3 linked regions of the Oreochromis niloticus genome follow. The protein of the gene in region 1 interacts with the protein of each later gene in a pairwise test. Links are inferred from orthologs where the notes say so. Each region holds a gene or a part of one and is shown in the gene's direction. Other genes may lie near its edges.

Region 1 (7,649 bases):
TGTTGTTAACCTTGATGCGCTCACGAGTGACCCAATCTCAACCTGTGGAAATGACGTCAGTCGCCAAGACTAAATGCGGACGCTTCGTTTGCCAAGAAATTTTCAGTAAATGTTTTCGATTCTTTGATAACCCTGCCGATCCAAACCTATCACTTGGTATCCGTCAGCCTTTTGCTCCCGAATCAAAGAGTTGTGCTTCAAAGATGTGAAGGTGACTCTATTTATATGACTGTGATTTTATCCCTCACAGAAAGGGGCAAAGGAGGCACAGGGGAGGTCCAAGTGGGGGGTCTCAATTGAGGCGGATTATTTTTATTAACCTAAGCAAATCTTTGTAATTACGGGAGATTAAACACTCGAGATTTAGTAAGACATGGTGTGCAAAGGATGGATGTTAGGTGGATGTAGAATCAAAGGCCTTTTAGTTGCCAGAGTTATCCTGTTAAAGTCGTTTTGTCCAGGATACTGTCCAAAGAATTACTTCAATTACCATCGAGGAGTAATTAATGGGTCAACTTCAGCACGTTGGAGATAAGTCACGTCTTTATTTGCAAAGACCATTAATGTCTCTTGCAGCCATCGACGGCGACAAGGTTACAGAAAAGTGAAGCGTATGAATGACAAATTAGAAAGGTTCACTTCCGTTCTTGATATAAACCCTTTTAATATTGGATCGTTCAACACCTTTATTTAATTTGTTACCAAATGCCTTTTATTACTTAAATTATTAGCTAGTGGAAAAATTATTTTTTCATATGTAACAATAAATTACTGCATATATACATGATTTTTTTTGTAGTTCAGCTAACATAATTATATATTTTGTTTAAAATCTGTCTTAAAGATAAAAACTGTCTGTGGTTACTATTAAACTGTATTATATTGTGTTCTGTAACTGTGCAGGATATTTTACTGGCTAATATAGTTTATTTTTTCTGTATGCAAATAATTATTTCCCTTGACTTGAAAATTTGTTATTTCATTAACTCATTCATTTCTACATTTGATTAAGATTTATCTTTTAATGAAGGTTTTGTTTCAGATCCTTATGGAATAAAAATCTCCTTTAAATCAATTATGACATGTTGTTTGAACATTTCTAGACCTTTTTCTGTAGTTATGTTGTAATATCAACAAGAAGGAGATTTAGCTGAAATATATCAGATTTATTTATGTTACAATGTACAGATCAAACATCATGCATCAAAGTGCTGAAATGAACATTTTTGGCAATGTTGATTGATTTTATAGTTACAGAAAGTTATTGTTTGTGTGTTTTTGATCAGTGGAAGATTTCTTCAAGCAACACCACATTATGTGCATACTCTCTGCCTGCTTCTTCTACTGCTTAACTGAAGCTGTATCAGACTTACAGTCTATGGTAGGCTATACAGTCACCAGCCACTCTGTTAGGCACACCAGTAATCTGACATGATTGCACAACACAGTGCTACAGATTGGTCAGTAAAACTTTATGGGTGTAATTCCCCTCTAATAAACATATATTTCAACATAGTTTATTTTAAAATACAATATAATTATATTTACAGGTAGGCGCACTAAAATAAGGGGGTTTAAAGTTGGGTTTATCCAGGAAGCAAAGAAGTGATTAAACTATAAATAAATTTAAGTATCACATAAATATTCACATAAATACAAATAAGTATTTTGAAGTAAAGTTCGACATTATAATGATGGAGGCATTTCAATTTTTTCTTTCACAATCACTGTTCAAACATAACTTTGAAAAGAAGTGTTTCCTTTCCTGCAAAATACATGGAAGTTAGGTAAGGTTAAGCACTCCATAATATGGCCCGTAAGATGGAGAAATATTGTTTGTTTTTCCACAAAACTAACATGAAATTCCACACTACTTAAAATGCAGTACTTGAAAAAACTTACAGGTTATTTAAATTTACTCACAGCATAATTATTTCTTTAATTCCTGCAAAATCCTGCGTCGTTACCCTCTAATTCTATTATTTGTTGTTAAATACAATTATGTTGTAATTTTAAATAAAGCACACTGAAATTCCTTTTAATTACAGGGGAGTTACACCTTTAGTTGCAGATATTATTATAAAGTGTTACCGATTTTCAGCTGCACATCCATTATGTGAATCTTCATTTTACCACATCCCGAAAATGCTCTGCTGGGCTTAGATCTGGTGACTGCGGGCGCTGATTGAGTACTGTGAGATCACTCTCGTGTTCAACAAAGTCGTCTGAGATCATTTTAACTTTGTGATGTCATGCGTTGTCCTGCTGGAAGACACTGCGGTACACTGTGGTCATAAAAAAGGATGGACATGGTCAGCGAGAAACACTCACAAAACCTGTGGTGTTTAAACAATACTCAGTTGCTACTAAGGACCCCAAAATGTGCCAAGTAAATATCCCCCACACCATGACACCACTGACAGCAGTCTGAACCAATAATACAAAGCAGGATGGATCCATGCTTTCATTGTTCACCCCAGTTCTGACACTTGCATCCAAATGTTGCAGCAGAAATTGAGAATGTCATTTTGTCCAGTTTTTGTGAGATCATGCAAACTTTAGTCTCATTTTCTTAGCTGACAGAAGGGTCAACATGTGTGTTCAGAGATGCTCTTCTGCCTCGGTTGTAACGAGTGGTTAATTGAGTTTCTTTAGTTTGCCTGTAAGTTCCAAACAGTCTGGCCAGAACCTCTGCTCAATGGATATTTTCTCCTTTTCAAATCATTCTCTGTAAATCCTAGAGACGGCCGTGAGGGAAAATCACAGTAGATCAACAGTTTCTGAAATACTCAATCCAACACATCAGATACTGAAACCCATATCATGGAGATAGTCACCTAAATCACCTTTCTACACCATTCTGGTGCTCAGGACTTCAACAGCTCATCTTTACCACGTCTATGTGATATTTGCATTAACAGGCATTTGAACAAGAGTACCTAAAAAAGTTTATTTGAATCCAGTGTGCCACAGTTATTCAACCTTTGTGTTGTTTTTTTTTTTATTCTGAATATCTCTGGGATCTTACACAAATAAAAGTGTATTTTCAGCAGAGAATGGATAACAATGTAACTTTGTTAACATTAAGTATAATTAACCCACCCTGTTCTCGTAGCATTTACAGCTTTAGCCTGTACGCATTAGCCGTATGGCGATCTGCTTTGTTCTTTCAGTTTAACAGAGGGGATGAACTTAATGGCAGTCAGGTCAAATCATGGACCATATTGCCCTCTTCTGTTTAAGTAATGGAACAAGACATGCATGCACAACATTAAAACACTACTCTATGCAACCTTTCAAGTTATCGTTGTAATTAGTTTTATTAAATTATTTTCAGCCTCATACTTCAGTAACTACAAAAACATGAAGAGTTAGAATTCTAAAAATAACGGCCTTTACTGTGTAAAACATGAAGCTGAGATTATGGGCTTTGTTTTGAGGGGGAGGTGCACTAAACAGAGACAGATTCATGAATAACTGAACTAAGGGAATCTCAGATTTCCCATTTAAGTTTTATTTGTAATTTAAATTAAGATAATCTTCTTTTTATAAGTCAGCACAGAAGCAGAGCAATCTGTTCTTTTGGAAATACAGCACTGCTTTATTGACGTTTCCCATCCAAAACGGAGCCACAACAAAACACGCCATGTTATTACATGATACTGCAATTCCCTCAATTGATTTTTGTTTTTCCATGAGGCTATTCTTTGCCCACATGTGAGGAGTTTTGGAAAAGCAGGGCTGGATCTTCAATCGGAGCAGACATTTCCCTCAGCAAACATATTTCCATTTTGCTGATGTCTTAACACAACCTGGCATTTGTGATACATAGAAGGTATTACAGGACTATACCTACACGAGTAAGTGTGTTTTCTTAATAAGTCGTTTTAATTTAATTATGAACATGCCTCAGACAAAGCATTAACGCCACATCTCACGGTTGGTCGCCTAACCTGAAATGGAATATTTTGCTCGGACGGGAATTGAAGGGACCATGCGACCCAATCCACTTGACAGCCCATGCTTTCCCGTCACGCTGAATTTAAACTATCTTTAAGACACGAGTTCAGAATATCGCAAAACTATAAAATTGAAACAGTCTCAATATTAAAATACTTTGACACGTGGTGTTATTAATCGACACAGAGGCCTATTTTGGAAGGGAGACCTGCCTCTTAGTGTTTTTTAAAAGTTGTGCTGTAACTTTAAAACAACGTGGTCCCGCCTATTTTCAGCGAATCGCTTCGGATGCTGGCAAAAGTCGCGCTGTGATTGGCTGGAGATGACTGTCTATCGAAGCAGGGTCATTGTTCCATTGGTGCAAGACTGGCCGTCGTCTCTGACTCTCGCGGTACTGCTGCACGAAGATGGCGGCCGAACTGGTGGAAGCGATGGCAAGTAGAGCTTGGTTGGCTTTGATTTGATAGGAGACGTGCGCGGGAGTGTGGGCTGAAAGTCATCCCAGTTGTGGGGAAACTGTGGGTTTTGTGCGAATATTATTAAAGGGTATTTATTCTTACAAATGTGGTGTATTTCAAGCACGACGAAACGAACTAGCCTATGGTGCTAAGGTAGCTAGCCTGCCTGGAAATGTTAACCAGGCAAGTGCGTTGGTTCACCTAGCATCACGCTGGCTCTGGAGGAAGACACCGAAAATGAATGATGAGACCATATAAGCGTGTGGTTGTTTTTGGTCTAGCCTGCTTTCTGGCATGTTACCGTTTTGACGTTATTTGGCTTACAGGAATATCTGTCTGTAGTTCACCAGTTAGTTTATGAACTGTGCACCTGTCAAAATATCTAGCAGTCGTGATTGAATGCCGAGTGTGAGAAGCTAGCCCGGCGATAGCACAGGCTACACTAGCAGCATTCAAGTGAGGTTGAGCAGTCTGTAACGCAGCTGTATTTGAAGCTCAGCGGTTCAGTCGGATCCATCCATAAAGTCCTGGTTTTTAATATAGACATGAAGCAGTTCTCCACTAATGTCTATTTCGGCCATGTCAGACAAAGCTGAGGCTTGTCTGGCGGCTAAACAACAACATCCCGTGTTTTGCCCCTAGAGCCCAGTTCGCGTGCTGTCTACTTCATCATAAATAAATAATAATTGTCTTTCTTTTTTCTTTTTTTTTTTAACGACCTCACATAGGATCATACGACCATACACGGTATTCATATAATTGATTCCACATGTTATGCAAGTATTGTTTAAAGGCTGGAGAAAATTGGCGCACATTATGTCGAGAATAAGAGATTTTGCGTTTACTTTGCAGTTCAATGTGTGTCGGCACCTCATATGTTTTTACTAAATAAACATCCTCGCCTGCTACGGTGTGTCTTCATCTTACATTTTTCGAATTAGTGTACAAATGAGGTTGTTAAGCCATAAACGGCAAATTAAAATTATATTAAACAGTTAATGGAGCCATAAACATGCAGAATTTGCAAAGCCGTATTTGTCTTACATTTGATGTGGACTGTAAACAGATTTATACATATAGGCTTGTATGTATATGTTTCATGTAGGTAAGAACTATTGCACTATTTGCACATTTCTAGGCCACTAACAAGAAATAGTAGTTTTTAGGCACCTATTTCATTGTAACTGAGCCTGCCAGACTATTCCTTTAGCTTTCTGTGTGTTAAATGACAGATAGTGTGGATGGAATTAGTGTGTTTCCAAGTTCTATTCATACTTTTAAGCCACCTTTGGAAGTTTATGGTTCTAAAGCCTAATTAACACTACCACAATTAGTGTGATCACTTGAATCATGGCCAAGCCATTGTTCCCAGAGTTGGAAGTGAACTTCTTAATATAGCCAGCTAATTACAACACACGTTAAAGCCTCTATAGGATTAAAGTGACCAAGGACAGATGCTAATTTTAGCAAGTACCAAGCAGTTTGGTGAACTCCTCTGTTCTGCATATAAGTTACCTGTAATTAACTCTGTGCATCTTCCAAGGGTTAAAAAGAGGTGTGTAGGTGTGTTTACGCAGGACTTTGCACACGATATTAAATTATTTAATTCATTTGCCTTTCCAGAAATCTAATTGTTTTTGTGCTCCTCCTGTTATATTTTTTTTTATTTTTTCGTCTTGTTTTCTCACTAGAATATGGTCAAAAGTTTCCGGGTCTCAGACCTGCAGACGCTGCTGGCCTCAATGGGTCGCAGCAAAAGTGGGCTGAAGCAAGACTTGGTGGGGCGTGCGTTGAGGCTAGTGCAGACCGAATACAGTCCAGAGCTGCTGAAGAACGTCCGGCAGCTCTACGAGTCACGTTTCCCTAAAACATCTGGTTGGCTGGCTGCACGGCGTCCGGAAAGTGTCCCAGTTAACTACTCATCCCTCAGCTCTTCCCCTACTGCCACCTCTCAGGGCGCAGACTACCTCAACGGCATTTCCAAACCGATCACCACACCTGCAGCAGAGGTGAAGCTAGTGCCACTGCCCTTCTACCAAACTTTAGAGACACTGCTACCACCAACAGAGCTAAGTGAGTGTGGACTATTTGTTAGGCTTTTTGTGTCTGTTTGTGTTTTTGGGAAATGTTGCATTTTTACTCAACGATGAGAATTTGCACTGTTCTCTTTTTACAATGGATTTTGTCTCCATCTCCTTACAGTTGCCCAGAACAGTGAGAAACTCCAGGACAGTCAGTGCATCTTTGAGTTAACACCCAGCCAAGCAGACCAGATTCGAAATGCAAGGTAAAAAGTCACATTGTCTGTTAAAACTGCACTTTAGGTTAACCCCAGGTTAATATAACCTGTGAAGCTCATTTTAATCTGTGACCTATTATTTTCTTAGTGAACTTCGTCCAGGAATCCGATCAATCCAAGTGGTTCTTAGGTAAGTTTCCAGTAAAACATTGGTGGGGGGGGGGGACTTTTTTGGTAGTGACTGTGTCATAAAACTATCATCATTCAAACAAACGAGGACAAATTGCTTCTTTGTATATACAGTGTTTGTGTTTAGTCTCTTAAAATAGAAGACCTCACTCATTTATTCCTCTGTTACTGCTCTCTGTTGCAGAATCTGTTACACAGACTCCATTGGTGTTCAGGAGGACCAGTATCCTCCCAACATAGCTGTCAAAGTTAATCAGTCCTACTGTCATGTGCCGGTGAGTTGATTAACTCTGAAATGTCCCACACCTTCATAATACAGACATGACTTAAGCTGGGCTTGTTTTCCTGTTTTGAAGTGTGTTCTCAATCATAGCTCATAGCATCGTTTTCAGATACAGTCAGGGTGTCTCTGGGTGTCAGTCACAGATGTTTTACCAGGTCAGTGATAAAATGTCGTAATATGACAGTGATGGATAATATAACCTAATGTAAGTGTGTCTTGAACAACATAAAGGGGAAAAATAAGATTTGGTTAAAGATGGTGTTGGCTTATCTGAAGACCTCAGGAAACAAAACTTTAGGAGGAAGCTGTCCAGCTGGCCGTCACTATATGGCTTAAGGTGTGCCACAAGAAATCAAACTGGCAGGGTAGCACCTAGATGACAGCTTAGGAGGGTGTGACTATGACCTCCTGAGGATTCAAATTTGGCCATAAATGTCTAAATTTGGGCTCCTGGCCTAATCCTGCCATTCTGTCTAGTACACAGATGTTTTAATCCCTGACTGTTTGTACATACTGTGAA
Region 2 (7,440 bases), on another chromosome or scaffold:
GCCTAAAGAAATTATGTTTAACGATCACATCTGATATTTGTCTTTTGTTTGTCTTTCTCAAGATGTGGTTTTACCATTGCGTGTGCCCTCTGTTTCCTTATTTTTCCTGAAGTTTCTCCCTTTTTTTCTCTTAGATGTGTCTATGCTGCTTGTGTACAGCTTTGTGAAAAAATTCTGGAGCCACCATTCATACGTTTTGCTTCCAATAAGCAGAATTTTAAGAATTTTTCAGTTGACGCAAGGGTGGCTGTCAAGAAGCCATTCTTATGCAAGGGAAACAAGAAGAAAAGGCTGAGGTATGCCAAGTTACACAAGAATATGACTGAAAATCAGTGGCAACAGGTCTCATGGAGTGAGGAATCCAAATGTGAAGTTTTGCATGCATGAACAGAGGAGGTCAGGAGCAAGTACAACCATGAGTTTCTAAAGGCATCTATAAACCACAATGGAGGCTATGTTGTGGTTTGGGTCTGCATGTCAGCCAGTGGTGTTGGGGATCTTATCAACATTATGCAAATATGAACATATAAAAGTACTGTTAGACATTCAGCGCCATCTTAAAACTAGCTGGCTGATAATAGTGTCACTTTTCAGCATGAAAGTGATTCCAACCCCACTGTCAGTTAAGCAAAAGCATATCTCGATAGAAAAACACATAATGTCACGCTCTCAATCATGGATTGGCCTCCCCGGAGCCTGGACCTGAACATTATTGAAGCATTGTGGGATCATCCTGACAGTGAACAGAACAACAGAACAGAGCTTGTCTAAAAGAGTTCCGGGTACATTTAAAAATAAAGCTGGCCAAACCAAACTTGACATTTTTAAGTCAAGTTAAAGGGTTTTTTTCCCCCTTATATACATTGTTATACTGTATTTTCATCTATGTTTTCCATTTTCACGGTAAAATATAAAGAAATAAGCGGTTGCTCGACATTTTTGTACAGTACTGTAGATTTTAACGAGCTAAATCTCCTTATCTAAACAATCACATGCAGCACAGTCATTTCACTAGGCGGCAGACCCTTTCTCATAATGCCAACAAGTTTATTTAGGTTAATAAGTAAACCATATGCTGTATATCAGCATAACAGACTTGGAGATAAATGACAAAGAAGTACTTCAATGAAAGTTGCTCTTTGCATTTATCTGCCAGCATCCTATTCTTATTCATCCATATTTATTTTCTCCATCTAAGGTGTCTGACCTCAAAAGAGCTCACAGTAGGTAAAATTCTCCTTCTCAGAGTCAGTTAGAACAAAAGACAACCTGATTTACAAACTCTTATCACCTTTGTGCCTCTTGAACACTACCAGTGGAGACTGGCAGGTCCATTATACCACAACAAAAGGTTGGTTTGTTATCCGTGAAGTGGCCACTTCATGTCTCCAAACTGCCGTGAACAGAGATCAAAGTCTGTTTGATGTTTTCAGATGCATTTTAAACACAGCTAAACTGAAGCAAGAGCATTCACGTGGTTTTCATGAACATATATATCTCCTCCATATCTGGTGGTGGATTTAGATTCATGGTGTGTTTATCCATGCAAATACAGCAGACCTAAGGCTGAATTCACATGCATGACAATCAAGAGAACTGGGAAAGAGCTGACCTCTCTGTCGCTCTTTCCTCGTCTCCATCCGCGGTTGGTGTCCTGCTGTGTGATGGCTCCACAATAGATATCGTCTAATTTAATCCACGCTGAGTCCTTGCCACTACAGAGCCAGTGTAAGGACAGGAAACCGCTCTGATCAGAATATGCATGAGCACTGTACGTCTCACATAAAAAGAAAAAGCAAAGTGAGTTGCAGCCATTACAGTATCTACTGTCATCATTACAATGATGAGGAACCCTCTGTATAAACATTTGGGTAGTTTCCTTGCCACTGATACAATAATAAGCACATAAGCAAGGTAAATAAGCAACGGTAATTGATTTTTATTTTTATTGCTCACATAATCTCATTTCCAGCGACTGCATGAGTGAATTTGTATGACCTGAAATGTAATTTGCTTCATGTTAGCCACTGCTCCAGAAATGCAAGTATTTGCATTTTGCTGTATAAAAAAGAAGATGGCCGATACTCGTCTGTCAAATAATCAAATTTGCCAGCAAATCTTTTGAGCATCTGTAACATCTTTTTTTTTCACCGTTGCATCCAGTGGTTCCCCAATATGATTCTGGGGCATGGGGGCTGGAAAGCATTGGGGGGGGGGGGGGGGGGGGGGCATGTGGGTGTTTTTAGATCACAGGCCAGTGACAAAGAAGATTATACTCCTATCAGTGTTGAAAAGGCTTTAAAATATTCTAACTTCTGCAATGGTAAAAAAATATAAAGCAAAATATAGGCAGATGTTGCTTAACCCTGTCCTAGCTGGCAGTTTTGTAGCTCTGGAGTACTGGAGTTGTCTATAATAGAGCATAAAACCCGTAAACTGCATTTAAAAAACAATATTCCAATGTGTTCTTTACATTGTTCATTTGTTTCTTTTTGTTAAGGTCACTTGTCGAGGTGGAGATCCATTTGACCACATTAAGCTGTCTGGGAAGCTTGCAACAATGACTAATATTTTATGAGCTGAGCTGTCATGTGTAACAAAGTGGAATTGTTTCCACTTTTTGTTTCCACTCTCAGAAATATTATGAAGCAAGGTACTTAGGTTCAGGGCCTGCTTTACACCAGAGAGCAGAGCACTAGGAAGCAGCAGTGTCAAAATCTGAAAGTGTGATGTGCGAATATAAAAGTTAAATTACCTTAATTGGAATATTAGAGGTTAAACTTTGCTGTTCTAATGAGATAAAACTCGATGAGTCTGTAAAAGCTCAGTAGGCTTTTCTCCCTAATAGGACTATAAATGTATGGGGTCTAATGAATGTGCTGCTGCCCTGTGTGTGCGTGTGTGTGAGGGGAATCCTCTAGCAAAAAAAAGTTTTGGGGACCCTTCCTCCTATCCCTTCTCATTATCATCATCATGATCATCATCGCCATCCCTTCCTCCCTCCCTTACACCCCCCACCTCCACCCACCCTCCCCGCTCGCACTGTTTTCCCAGATTTATTCACGTGCGGCTCGCTCCCGCCTCGCTCAGACATTCTGTCGCCAGCGCCGTGACGTCACCTGCGCCAGAAGCCTCCTCCGCTCTGAACGTTTCCCTCCGCCTGTCTTCAAGAGAATCTAGTCCCCCTCCCTCCTCACCGCAGCGACCCTGAACTTGATTAATGAACTGGCAAATACAGAAAGAGATGTTACTACACTTTTTTAAATATAATGAAAAAAACAACAAAAAACAATAACGATCGAAGCCCGTGTTTTTTTTGCCAGTGTTAAAGTATATTTAAGTCATCATTGTGTGTTTGAGCAAATTATTACACTGATAAGCCTGTGGTCACCCTTTGGACACTTTGTGGCGTTTTTGAACTTATATCTCATTTTTTCGAGGATCTCTAATAACATCTACAAGCTCTGACTGTTTAAAAAAGACTGTTTAAAGTTTACTTATCATTCAGATAAGTTATCGCGCTTTTGTCGCTTTTGTGACTTATTCACATCTGATCAGATAATGGGTTACTTCCCCTTGGGCCTCATGGTCAATTCAGAGTCTGCGGCACATGCACAAGTATGGACAGATTGGGCTCATTGGTGTGCAAGAAACTTTCATGTCCTCTGCAGCTGCTGTCCTGCAGGAAGGCTGTGTTTTCACGTGTCATCGTGCAGTACTCACTGGGACCCAAAAAAGCGTGCATCAGTGTCTGAGGAGGTGGGGATGGTGGCATGTATGAGCATGTTCCTGTGCTGACTGTGCTCGTGGGACACTTTTGTTCTTCTGGCTGAACTGTGCTTATCATGTCACAGTCAAAGCGAGACGGGAAACCGAGAGGTAGGCTTTAAGTTCAGGAGTTCACAGATAAACCACAGAGATGTGTCACTTAAAAACAGCCTCTCGGAAATATTACTGCTTTAGATAAAAGCGAGCTTTTTCAAAATATTTCCTCATTTACTCCCGATTGATGTCTGTTGTATTGGGGGAGACAACAGAGTGGTAAAGATTAAAGACTTATTACTTAGACTTATTATTTAGAGCCTCTTTTCCCCTGTCTCCCCAAAAACCCCGACATTTCACCTATCTTAACAGACACGTTTTGCACTAAAGAAACCCCACACCTTTGCACTAAAACCGTACCGTTTCGCTATTACATAATCCACTTCCACGCTCTCGATGAAGATGTTAGATGTGCAAAAAGTAGGTCTGCCTCTTGCCGGTGGGGCCGCATCTCGCGGCGGTGTGATACTGGCGCTCGGGAGAGTGTGAGACGGCTCCGCGACTCACTGACGCCAGGCCGAGCAGACCCACAGTCAGGCGGCGAGAGCACACAGGAGGAGCCAGCGACGCCGAGAAACAGAAAGCTACAGAGGAAGAAAAGGTGCGGTAAAGTTTTTCTTTTTTCACAGAATTATAAATGAAAACTGCCTTTAACTGTTTTTATTTCGGTAGCCACAGTGTGCTCGACTCTGTTTTTTTAAGGAAGTAGATCCCAGCAGTTATCCGCACATCACTGTCAGTTGGCAGCTTCAAACTTTTTTTCCTCTTTTTGCGCACAAGTTATCAGACAGCAGTGGAAATTTAGCCGCAAAGTTGTGTCTTGTACCAATTTTTTTTTACAAAAGCGGGAAAAAAGTGGGTAACTTAGGGAATTTAGCAGCAAAGGTTTCCCAAAAATGTTGTAGAAGCGAAGCTTTTCGTCTTAAAGCTAAACTCCCTTTAATTACCCTTAAATCACCGTAAAGGGTTCACCGGGACGAGCTTTTCCGTATTTAACCATGTAATCCATTTTCAGCTGGGAATGATGATTATTGTGCTATTTATAAACTACCGCTTTTCTTCTTTTTTTTTTTTGCTTTGCTTTTTTTGGGGGGGGGTGCATGCATTATGCGGATAAATGGGTGGTCTTTCTGTGTCATATGTTGTTATCTTGCTTCATCAACTAGCTGTTTAGTCTGTAACATTAAAAAAAGTGGAAGAAATGGCCACCAGTCGCCCGAGGGTTTCATCTTGTTCTGTGTAGAAATTAGTTTACGGTGACATTGAACAGAAAAACAGCCAAGCTTCTCCTTTTGAGAAACAAGAAATTGAGGATTTAGCAAGTTTTCTTTCCCCGTGATAAATGACTGAAAATGCTTGATAAACAATTATCAAGACTGCTCATTAAGTTTCTCATGATCACCTAATTAATTAGCTAAATCTCTTGATTTGAAGCGTTACACATTTCGAAATGTATCATATTTGGATGCCACTAAACCATATATCACTCTGTAATCAGTAAACACGTATTACACCTTGCCATTTTAAGCTTTAAGAAAGTATATTGTTGTAGTGTTTATTGATGTATAAAGACTTAACGTGGCTGTTCAGCTGATGCACTTCAGAGGACATGTGTCCCCATGTGTTTACGAATTTCTGCCTGTGTGAGAGTGCATGTGAGGGAAGATTGCAGAGGGAGGCAGAGACCTACAACAACTAGAGCTAGCTCTCTTGACATTATTGAAGATGACATATCAGATTACTCAAAGGACAGGAATTTGTCCTTGTCTGTGATTGCATTCTCAGTATGTTGTGCTTTAAGTTGTATTTACGACAGCTTTTTTTCCAGCTTAAAAATGAGCATGAAGCCTCTTGACTGTGACTGTCATTATCAGAGGCTTTTATGAGCTTGATATCTGCGTCGGTGAACACAAAGCATGATATTTTCCATCCACTGTAACAGCTGCTGATAACTAGTAAACTGCAAGGTCTCCATACGTTGCAGGTTTTCCTTTATGAGAGAGACTTAAACCAAAATAAACTCTTTAGTTGACAGTTTTAGACAAGCACTGTTGTTGTAGGATAAATAGAAGAAGAAACATGACAGATTTAAGTCTTGTGTCCCTGTGTCACTGTATGGTTGGATAACATGTCTGCTATGTGTTGGAGTGAAGTGTCCACCCTAACACAACACAAACCCAACGCTGAGTTACGAGCATGTTTGACATAGCACCATGAAAACCCATGTGTTTGATAGTTATGTCTGCTGTGGTAGATTGACATGTCTGGGACGCAAAGAATCTGATCCCAGTTCAACTTCATCAGAGTCTGAACCATCCTGACACTTCTTGTGCAGGTTTCTAGTGTTTTCCATATCAGCATTGGAAGGATGCTGAGCAGTGGATGTGACTTGTAGGAGCCCGTCAGGTCAATGCCATGACTGTGATTACTTCAGGTTTTGCTCTTAGACTGTAGTGTCTAGGTCTAGCTGTTCGGCGTTAATTCTAGGGCTGCTCATTTATGACAAAAGTCATTTCTCACGATTGCCATAGTGGCTTCATTGAACTTAAAATCATGCTATTTGAATGGTGAATATCCTTGACTCTTTGAATCAGTCTTTCAGGGAGAAAATCTGGAGTTTTATGGAATGACAAAAGTATTGTAGGTGGGGCTGAAAGCCAAATTGTGAGTGCAGCACAATAACTGTCTTGTTTTAAATATAGTTAGAAGCCAAAATTGTAATTAAAATTTGATTAATTGTGCATCACTAGCTAATGCTGTTTGCAACCAACTGAAGTAGTTATTAGGGAGCCTGGAAAAGTGAACTAATATTATATTACAGCAGATATGTTACTTTATGTTAGCCAGCAAATATCAAGAAGGTGCAGAATGCAATTATGCAAAGACATGCTGCTTTTGTAAGACTGTACAACAAGGAAAACTTGACAGGTTAATTATATATATATTTTTCATGTAAAATGTCCTTCTCTGTATTTATTTATTTATTTATTTTTTGCATAAAATGGCTAAAATTGGCAGCTTTTTTTGGTTGGCCCACAGTCCAAAGATATTTAGCTTGCAATAATATGAAACTGATAAATGTAGGACATCTGGCTAAGAAACTGGAACCAGAGATCTTTTGGCTTTTTCTTTTCTTTTCGTTTTTTTAAATGGCATGATTTAAATGACAAGTACTTCTAAGTACTAAGTACATTAGTACTAATTTTTCTTAGTACTAATGTTAATTTCTCAAAAGGATGTTAAAAATGACAGCTGGTCTCCTGTTTTAAAAGCAATTTGTTGACTCATTTAAAAAAAAAAAAAAAATTATATCCTAGCCTCGTTGTTAGAAATGGTATTCGTAAAGTAGCCTGTAGTGCATCCTTGTAGTGTCATGATTCACACAGTAATGCCCCTTGAAGGCTCTTGATGTTGAAGTACTAGCTGAAGAGACCAGATATGTGAGCGTTCTCCATATCTCTTCCTCCCAAACACTCAGCCTGTCTTAGATCTCAGGCATCACCATCACTCTCACTTACTTTTTTCCTTCTGTCTCTGCATCATTCCTCCTTTCTTCCTCTCGCTTTATCTATCACTCTCTTCTTTCCTGCACTCCACGGTTTATAGCCAGTGACTCCA
Region 3 (7,863 bases), on another chromosome or scaffold:
CTCGTCCATGTAGGACAGTTAAATGCATGCAGTTTCACGCCAGTGGCCTTTAAAGAGAACTAGGTCACTGAGGCCTCCAGCTTTAACATGACAAAGATGTAATCCCTTAACCCAAACCAGACTAAAGAAATCTGAAAGTAGATGCTCTCTGTGAGAGGTTTATCAAACAACACCTTACAGATTAGTTCATCTCATACTGAAAAGACAAAAGCCCCTTGGACAAGACAAAATGCTTCTCATATGAAAACTTGAATCTTATATAACATCTATAATAACTCTTTGAGCTTCAGTGCACTTTGCACGTGTAATTGGGTGTAAAATAACATTGTTGCATCTCAACGTGTCAGGCTCACTTTGATCCAACTTAAAAGTCTGGATTGATTAAAAGTTATTAATATTGAATTGAGGGGTTTCTTTGTATTGACTGACCACTGGCTGCAGGGCACGAGCTACATACTGAGCAACTGTCGGCTAAAGATGAAGTTCTGAACTTACACCCCAGTCCTCAGGTTTTACCCAGCATTAACTTAGCAGTTTATCCTATACCAAGTAAATACAGGGCCAGAATTACCAATACTGATACCAACACTTTTAACCTATAAAGTTAGCTTATATAGGGGAGAGCAGTGTGTCATGATTTTTGAGATGAATCATTATTGATTTGCAAATTCTGAACACACATGAACACTCGAACACTACACGATTTGATGTTTACATTCCACATTTTATAATAAAACACACTTTCATACTTTCATGTATTTTGAAACTAAATGTTTTGTAGATCAAGAATTAAAATCTCTAGTCTCTAAAGCGCTTTGTCAGCTTCTGTTGTTTAAATATAGGCTGTAAATCTACTAGACCTGGCAGGCGACAAAAAGGTACATTTTTCATAGTTCATGTTTGTGTTATATTTTTTTTCATTTCCAAAAGAATAAGAATTTATTTAACACTATTCAGTGGGCTACATACAGAATTTTGAGGATAGAAAGTATCGATCCTATCGTGCTAGTATCGATCCGATACTGATACCAGCGCTGGTATCGATATTATCAATATTTGGAGTAATACTTTTCTTAATCATTTCAGCTAAAACTGAAGATCACGACCTTCATGAAGGTAAAATTTATCGCCAGGCTGTTGCATTAGACTTTGACATTTTTAGCGTAGGAGAGTAACTCACTCTTTGAACATTCAGTTGGCTAAAAGGAGTCTGGGGCAGGTTGGTAGGTCTGTAGCTAACATTAGCATTCTGGGATAAAATGTGGGTCATACCGCATGTCTGAGCACAAGACTGAAGCTTTCTCTCATTCATTATAGAGCAAACCCCACTGGAGATGCTGATAATTGTACATTTTTCTCAACACACGATGAATAGGTTTTTTTCCTCCTTTTTTATGCTTTTTCACAGCATGATTTGTTTATTTTTTTTTTAAACAGGCTGCGTCATTTACCAGTGTGGGTGTTTTCCATCCTTCCTGTTGTGACATCGGATGTGCAAGTTGTGAATTTTTAAAGTTTTCTCTTATCTATTTAATTAAAGTTGCCTTATTTCTATCATTCTTATCTCCCCAGTGACTGGCTGCCTGCCTGCATGCAGTCTTCACCCTATTCTTAACATTCTCATTCACACATAATAAGCCTGTTTAATTGCATATGTGTGACCCCCACTCGTCTGAAACCAGTCACTGTGTCAATAAATTATAGTAAAGGCTTGGGCTGCTGTCTAGAATATTAATCATCCCTCTTGCTGTGTAATGCTGTTTTAGCCAACTGCACGCCCTCATTTGAATCACCTCTGCAGGGTCACTTGATTGAGCTTAACAAGGCTCTTAAAGCAACAGCTCAGCAGCTTTTAGAAATACATTTATTCACTTTTTGTTGAGACTTAGATGAGCAAGACTGCTGTATATATGCCTTATGAATACATAAGGCTGAAGCTGGAAGCTAGCTCAGCACAAAGACTGTGAACAGGCGGGGAAACATGAAACTAAGCCTGCTGTATGTAGCCTTAGGATGTGAGAACATTAGAACCACACTCCAGTTGTCAACCAGAAAGCACTTCCAGCTCCATTTTTATTTTTGGACCCTGCTGGAGTAGCTTTTGCACAGTTCAGAGTAATAATTCATTTTATACTGGATGATGGTACAGCCCCCTTGGGTCATCCACTTTCTGAAATGAGCAATTCCTTTCTCTTTTAGCCAGCTTTCTTCTGATTGGCTGCCCCTTGCAAACAAAGGGTTTAAGCACCAGGTGGATGGGACTGCTGCGCTAAAAGCTAGAGCTTCAAATTTTGAAGCAGATGGGTTACAGCAGCAGAAGACCACACCAGCTGCCACTCCTGTAGACCAAGAACAGGAAACTGAGGCTACAGTTCTCATGGACTCACTGTACAAATCACCTTACACTGGTTTGTTGAACATGTCAGTGAGTTCACTGTACTCAGATGGCCTCCACAAACACCAGATCTCAATCCGATAGAGCAGCCTTGGGATGTGGTGGCATGGGAGATTCACATTGTGGATGTGCAGCCAACAAGTCTGCAGCAACTGTGTGATGCTATTATGTCAGTATTAACCAAGCTCCCAGAGGAATATTGCCAGCATCTTGTTGAATCTGTTGTACGAAGAATTAAAACAGTTCTGAAAGCAAAAAGAAGTCCAAAGTGGTTCTATCGATATGTACAGAGTCCAGTGAGTGCATGTCGTTTTAATGGCTGTACTGTCATACTGTCAAAAATCCAATAAAAGACCTTGACGTGTTAGTTTGGAGAGGTGTGGGGGACAGGTTCCACAAATATAGTGTTCGCAACACCAAATTACAGGACTCCACCAAGCATGTGAATGCACCATTCAGTATTTACTTCAGTTATTATCAGGTGTGGTTTAAAAATACATGAAAACGTTATCAGGCAGGGAGGAAAAAATATATATATTAATGAGTCCTAGTCCTGCACCTTATTGCAGACATTCCTCGCCAGACTGAAATGGAAACTGGTTAGATAAAATTGGCTACTTCCTGGAGTCTGGGGAATAGTCAGTCACACACACAAAAGGAAGGGCAGGGAGAAGTGGAGAGGGAGAGAGGGGGAGAGGGGAGGGGACAGCGTGCGTCTGCAGCGACTTCCACAATACCTCTGACAGACCCTTTCCCCTGACTGATTGCTTCCAGACTTCTTCAAAAAAAGAAAAAAAAAGAGGCGCAGTCCCCTGCGTTGTTTGGGCTGTTGAGTCTCCTCCTGCTCGGCGCCAGTGGGTGATCCTGGGACAATGCGGGTAGCCCGACCCCCATCCGTCGACCCCCATGCACACCTCTGCCCCCACCCCCCTACCCAGCCCCGCACATCTCTGCAATCATCATTATCAGACACCCATCCCATCTGCCCCCGGAGCACCCCTGTCACCTCCTCCTCTGGACTTGTGTCTGTGGAGGTAAACCCATGAAGCCATGTAGGTAACACACACACAAACACAGACACACGCATATTATTCATGCGCACGTTGCAAAGGGTTTGGTAGATGCTAGGAGATCCTATCTGAGGGCCTCGGACACTTTGGGTTCAAAGTGTGAATCATTTATTTATTTATTTGAATAAAAATGAGTTTATTGAGAGAACAGATCATTTATGTGTGCCCATATAGAGAAATAAGCTGTCACACTTAAATGACGTTGTTTGTGTTTTGCCTCTTCAGCGACACACAATACGGCAAAACAGATCGAAACGGTAAGAATCAAACCGCTGCGCCTGTCATAATAAATATGGATTCGGCCGATAATAAAGACAGCAGTCATGTGGGCACATCCCATCTGTTGTCAGGCAAGTCGGGAAAGTGATGGGCAAGAGCGCTGGATGAATAAAAGAGGGTGGAAACCGCCGTGTTGATGATTAAAAGGCAGAAAACTGGTGATGCTCGTCCCACCTGGAAACCAAACGTCCAGAGGGCGGCAGCAGCGCGCTCCCGTCTGGCTTTGGGACACAGTGGCCGCTCTCGCTCTCTCGCTCTCTCTCTCCCTCCCTGTGTTAAGTCTTGCAGGCACATTTTTTATACGTTAAAAAAATCCCTAATCTGAACCAGCTTCATCTACGACCCGACATATCCGGTGAGTGGTTGAAGTGTCGCCCTTGAGACCATCCTACGCAGCCCCCTCCCAAGCCAAACCATCCTGAGTAATCATGATGACAAATGCGCAAATGTTATATTACGAGAAAAAAGGTGGAAATCAGAGTGTTTCTAGCTTAAATGACACACACTCACACATCAGCAACAGAGCTGCTTTAATACGAAGCCAGTGTTAGTAAAGCTGAGATAACAGAGCTATTAGACGTTGTTGGAGCTTGAAAAGAACATTTGAGTTTACAATCATCAAGTAAACTTAGAAAAAACTTTTATATGACACAAAGGGGCCAAATTTACGTCATTATCGCTCTGCCAATTATTCAGCATTAAACAGTGACGAGAGAAATTTCTTGTAAGACTTTATATCATCTCACAGTTTCTCAACTGCCCTTTTATTTTCAACTTTACCCTTCTGGCAACTTTTTGCCCCCAAACTTTCCTCCTTTCAAAGGTTTTCGTGTGTGTGTGTGTGTGTGTGTGTGTGTGTGTGTGTGCGCCGCAGGCTCTGCTTGATCTGTTGTTTGCGCAACACACAATCACATTTCTTTTAAGCGACAGGGTGTCTAGACACACACGTGACCGGGCGCGTCAATGCGCACTGGAGACTGGAGACGGAGCAAGGGCACCCAAACCATCCGCCTCATTTACAGAGAGCCTCATACTCCCCCTCGAGATCGCAGTCGGCGGCTCGCTCTCTCTTCCACGGAAACTTCGCGTGAGATACGAGCTTGGGATTATTTTAACGCTCAGACAAGAAAAAGAAAAAGGTTCGCCTGTGTGCTGAAACAGGTCGAAAGGCTCGGCGGCTGGACGAGTGTTCTCTCTCTCTCTCTCTCTCTCTCTCTCTCTCCGGGCTTTAGAAACGCAACTCAACTTGGGTGAGAGATTCAGACCTGGATTTTTGCTCCTTGGCTCATCTCAACTCGGGCAGACCACATCCTCTGCAGACGATTGGCATATTTGGACGATAGCGGATAAACAAATAAATAAATAAAAAAAAGCCTCCGCATGCCCGGTGGAGAACCGCACTCTGTGCAGTTTGGATCACGGATTTTTGTGGATTAATGCTCCTGAAGACACGGCAGCGAGCTTCGGTTTTCATGGGATAATTGCCATAGCATTTTAGGCTTAATTAGGCCCCACGTTCTGTAATTTCCATTAAAGCTACTGCGCACTGGCAGAAAGCTTTTTTTCGTTCTTTTTCTTTGCTTTTCTTTTTTTAAAAGCAGTGTTTATTTGCTGAAAAATCTGCCTGGAGTATTTTTAAGGGGTCAGCTCACTGCTCTGGGTTGCACATCACCAAGTGAAAATTGTAACACATCTAGGCTCCGCGCAGCAGGGTTGCTCCCCCATTCGCTATTAACGATCACATTCTGCTAGGTTTTCGTCATCAGACACAAGTCTTAAATTCCCGATGGTGATGGTGACTTATCCCCGGAGGAAAAGTTAACTGTCCCGTGAACCCTGCCTGCTTTTTTCTTTCTTTTTGGTGATCTGGGGTGCAGGAGACGGCGAAAGAGACTGGCGTATGCTACAGATTTCCTCTGCTTGTCCAGACCCCAGTTTTTCCACCGTCTTTTCTCAGGCTGCTTATCACCGCCTGGACTCGGATCCCGGAATCTTCATGATTTGCGGACACAATGCTCGTTTTTTAGCCGGGAAACCCTCTTTTCGTCCCGCATGTTTAGGACCAAACGATCGGGGCTCGTCCGGCGACTCTGGAGGAGCCGTGCGCCCGTGGAGGGCGACGGGGAAACGGATAGAGGGACGCATGGCTCCGGGGGCTGCTGCTTGGGCAAAACGACAAAGGTGGCCAAGTCCAACGCAGGGTCGGAGGCTGAATTGAAGGCGTTGACCCACTCGATACTGAAAAAGATCAAAGAGAAACAATTGGAGGTGCTTTTGCAGGCAGTGGAGTCCAAAGGGGGTGCCCGCAGCCCCTGTTTGCTCCTGCCCAGCAAAGTGGACGCCAAAGTGGGTCAACAGTCTTACTCTCTCCCCATGCTGCTCTACAAAGTGTTCAGGTGGCCGGACCTCAGGCATTCCTCGGAGTTGAAGAGGCTGTCTTGCTGTGAATCCTACGGGAAAATCAACCCAGAGCTCATTTGCTGCAATCCCCACCACATGAGCAGGCTCTGTGAACTCGGTGAGTTGGATTTTTATGAAAATAGACATTATCTATTTATTTATTTATCTGTTTATTGGCAGCAAGTATTTTGAATTCTCTGGCATTCTCTGGCCTTATTTCAGAGCAAGTTCAAGTTCAATTACCTAAAGAGCTAATTAGCCTAATTCAAATGACATCACTTCTGTTGGCACAGTTGTGTTGAGTTTCCATAAGGTCAAACTAGCGTGCTGAGACCCCCCACCCCCCAAACCCCCCTCCACCTTCCCATCTTTTCGGAAGTGTGGCGTCATTAAATCCGAGTTTGGCATGTCATTTGACTAAAATAATAATTGATTGATTGGCCGTGTTGTAAAAACGGTAACGTGTATCCAAACATGCTTTATTTTATGTTTTTTTGGCACTTCAAATATGCGCTTTCCAAACAACAACAAAGCCTTTCTGCTATTTAAACCTTTCATAGATGGCATTTCCAAAGTGCACAGGGCTTTACAGTCTTCCAGTCTTTCCACAGTGAAGTTTTTCCAGGGTCTCTGTGTGTATGTGCGTGCACGCGCTCGCTCGCTCGCCTGAGTGCGCGCGTTTGCTTGGCGTCCCGGGCCAAAAGAGGCCCGTATCTCAGTTTGTCCTAGACGCTGATAGTGGCCCTTCTGGCGCCAGGCGGCCCCCCCCTGTTTATCTGCCTGCCAATGAAAGGCAATAGCCGCCCAGCCGGCCTCTCAGCCTGCCTCTCCAGGCGGAGCTGACAGACACAAATCTTTTTCCCCTGAAAAATGACAAATCTTATCATAAAGTTTCGATCTCTCCCTTGTTTTCCCCCTTTTTTTTCCTCATGTACTCATTTTTTTTCTCCATACAGAGTCTCCTCCTCCACCATATTCCCGCTATCCCATGGACTATCTTAAACCACCAGGTGAGCTTGCTGTTCATGCATAAATACATGCATTCATGTTATTGCCAGAAGCGCATTTGTTTTTGCATAACATTTCCATCTAAAAGGCTATATTGCATTTATGAATGTTTGTGTTGTCTGTGCCTCTCCAGTGCGTGTGTGTGTGTGTAGGAAATGGCTCCATGTTATGTTGTGATTTATGATAGCAGTGGAGTGGCACGCCTGGCTGACTGGCTAGCCATTTCCAGCATGGCTGACAGCCAGGGCAAGGCAGTACAAAGTTGAGACACCAGCTATAGACTGACTGACTGGCACATCACCGGGGGCAGCCTGTGTGTGTGTGTGTGTGTGTGTGTGTGTGTGTGGCTAAAGGGGGGGAGGGAGTTTGTTTGTGTGTTCGTCTATCTATTGTGAATCGCAGCACAGGGAGAAACAGACAGACAGCGGCGTCTCTGGAGCCAGCCAGTCTTTATCAGCTGAATTAATCAACAGAATGAGGGTGAGGGCTTGTGTGTCTCTAGTGTGTGTCTGTGTGTGTATAGCTGGGGGTGTCACTGTCCCCATTTCCCGGTTTGATGTCTTACAGAACAGAAGAGAGGCTTTGTTGTAATTTCTTCCACATCTAAAGCGTAGCTGTTGCAACAGTGTTAGTTGTGCACTTCAGTCCACACATCGCTCCTGCTGTCATTCTCTTCCTCTGTGCAGGAAAGTGGCATCAAGTTATGTCAAA

The links. The genes of interacting proteins can lie anywhere in the genome.
Region 2: the proteins of pias4a (region 1) and smad1 interact in a two-hybrid assay, tested with the Homo sapiens proteins (2 studies listed by BioGRID and IntAct). The link is inferred for Oreochromis niloticus from reciprocal best matches to the Homo sapiens genes PIAS4 and SMAD1.
Region 3: the proteins of pias4a (region 1) and smad7 interact in a two-hybrid assay, tested with the Homo sapiens proteins (2 studies listed by BioGRID and IntAct). The link is inferred for Oreochromis niloticus from reciprocal best matches to the Homo sapiens genes PIAS4 and SMAD7.

What each region holds. Positions count from the first base shown.
Region 1 is NC_031986.2:34,311,925-34,319,573, reverse strand, and holds the start of pias4a (E3 SUMO-protein ligase PIAS4-A), read left to right. Parts: upstream 1-4,272; 5' UTR 4,273-4,367; coding exon 4,368-4,394; intron 4,395-6,109; coding exon 6,110-6,491; intron 6,492-6,620; coding exon 6,621-6,705; intron 6,706-6,805; coding exon 6,806-6,847; intron 6,848-7,030; coding exon 7,031-7,121; intron 7,122-7,649.
Region 2 is NC_031971.2:16,424,839-16,432,278, reverse strand, and holds the start of smad1 (mothers against decapentaplegic homolog 1), read left to right. Parts: upstream 1-4,253; 5' UTR 4,254-4,423; intron 4,424-7,440. UniProt on the Homo sapiens protein: Transcriptional modulator that plays a role in various cellular processes, including embryonic development, cell differentiation, and tissue homeostasis.
Region 3 is NC_031972.2:18,262,788-18,270,650, forward strand, and holds the start of smad7 (mothers against decapentaplegic homolog 7), read left to right. Parts: upstream 1-4,676; 5' UTR 4,677-5,796; coding exon 5,797-6,262; intron 6,263-7,100; coding exon 7,101-7,154; intron 7,155-7,863. UniProt on the Homo sapiens protein: Antagonist of signaling by TGF-beta (transforming growth factor) type 1 receptor superfamily members; has been shown to inhibit TGF-beta (Transforming growth factor) and activin signaling by associating with their receptors thus preventing SMAD2 access.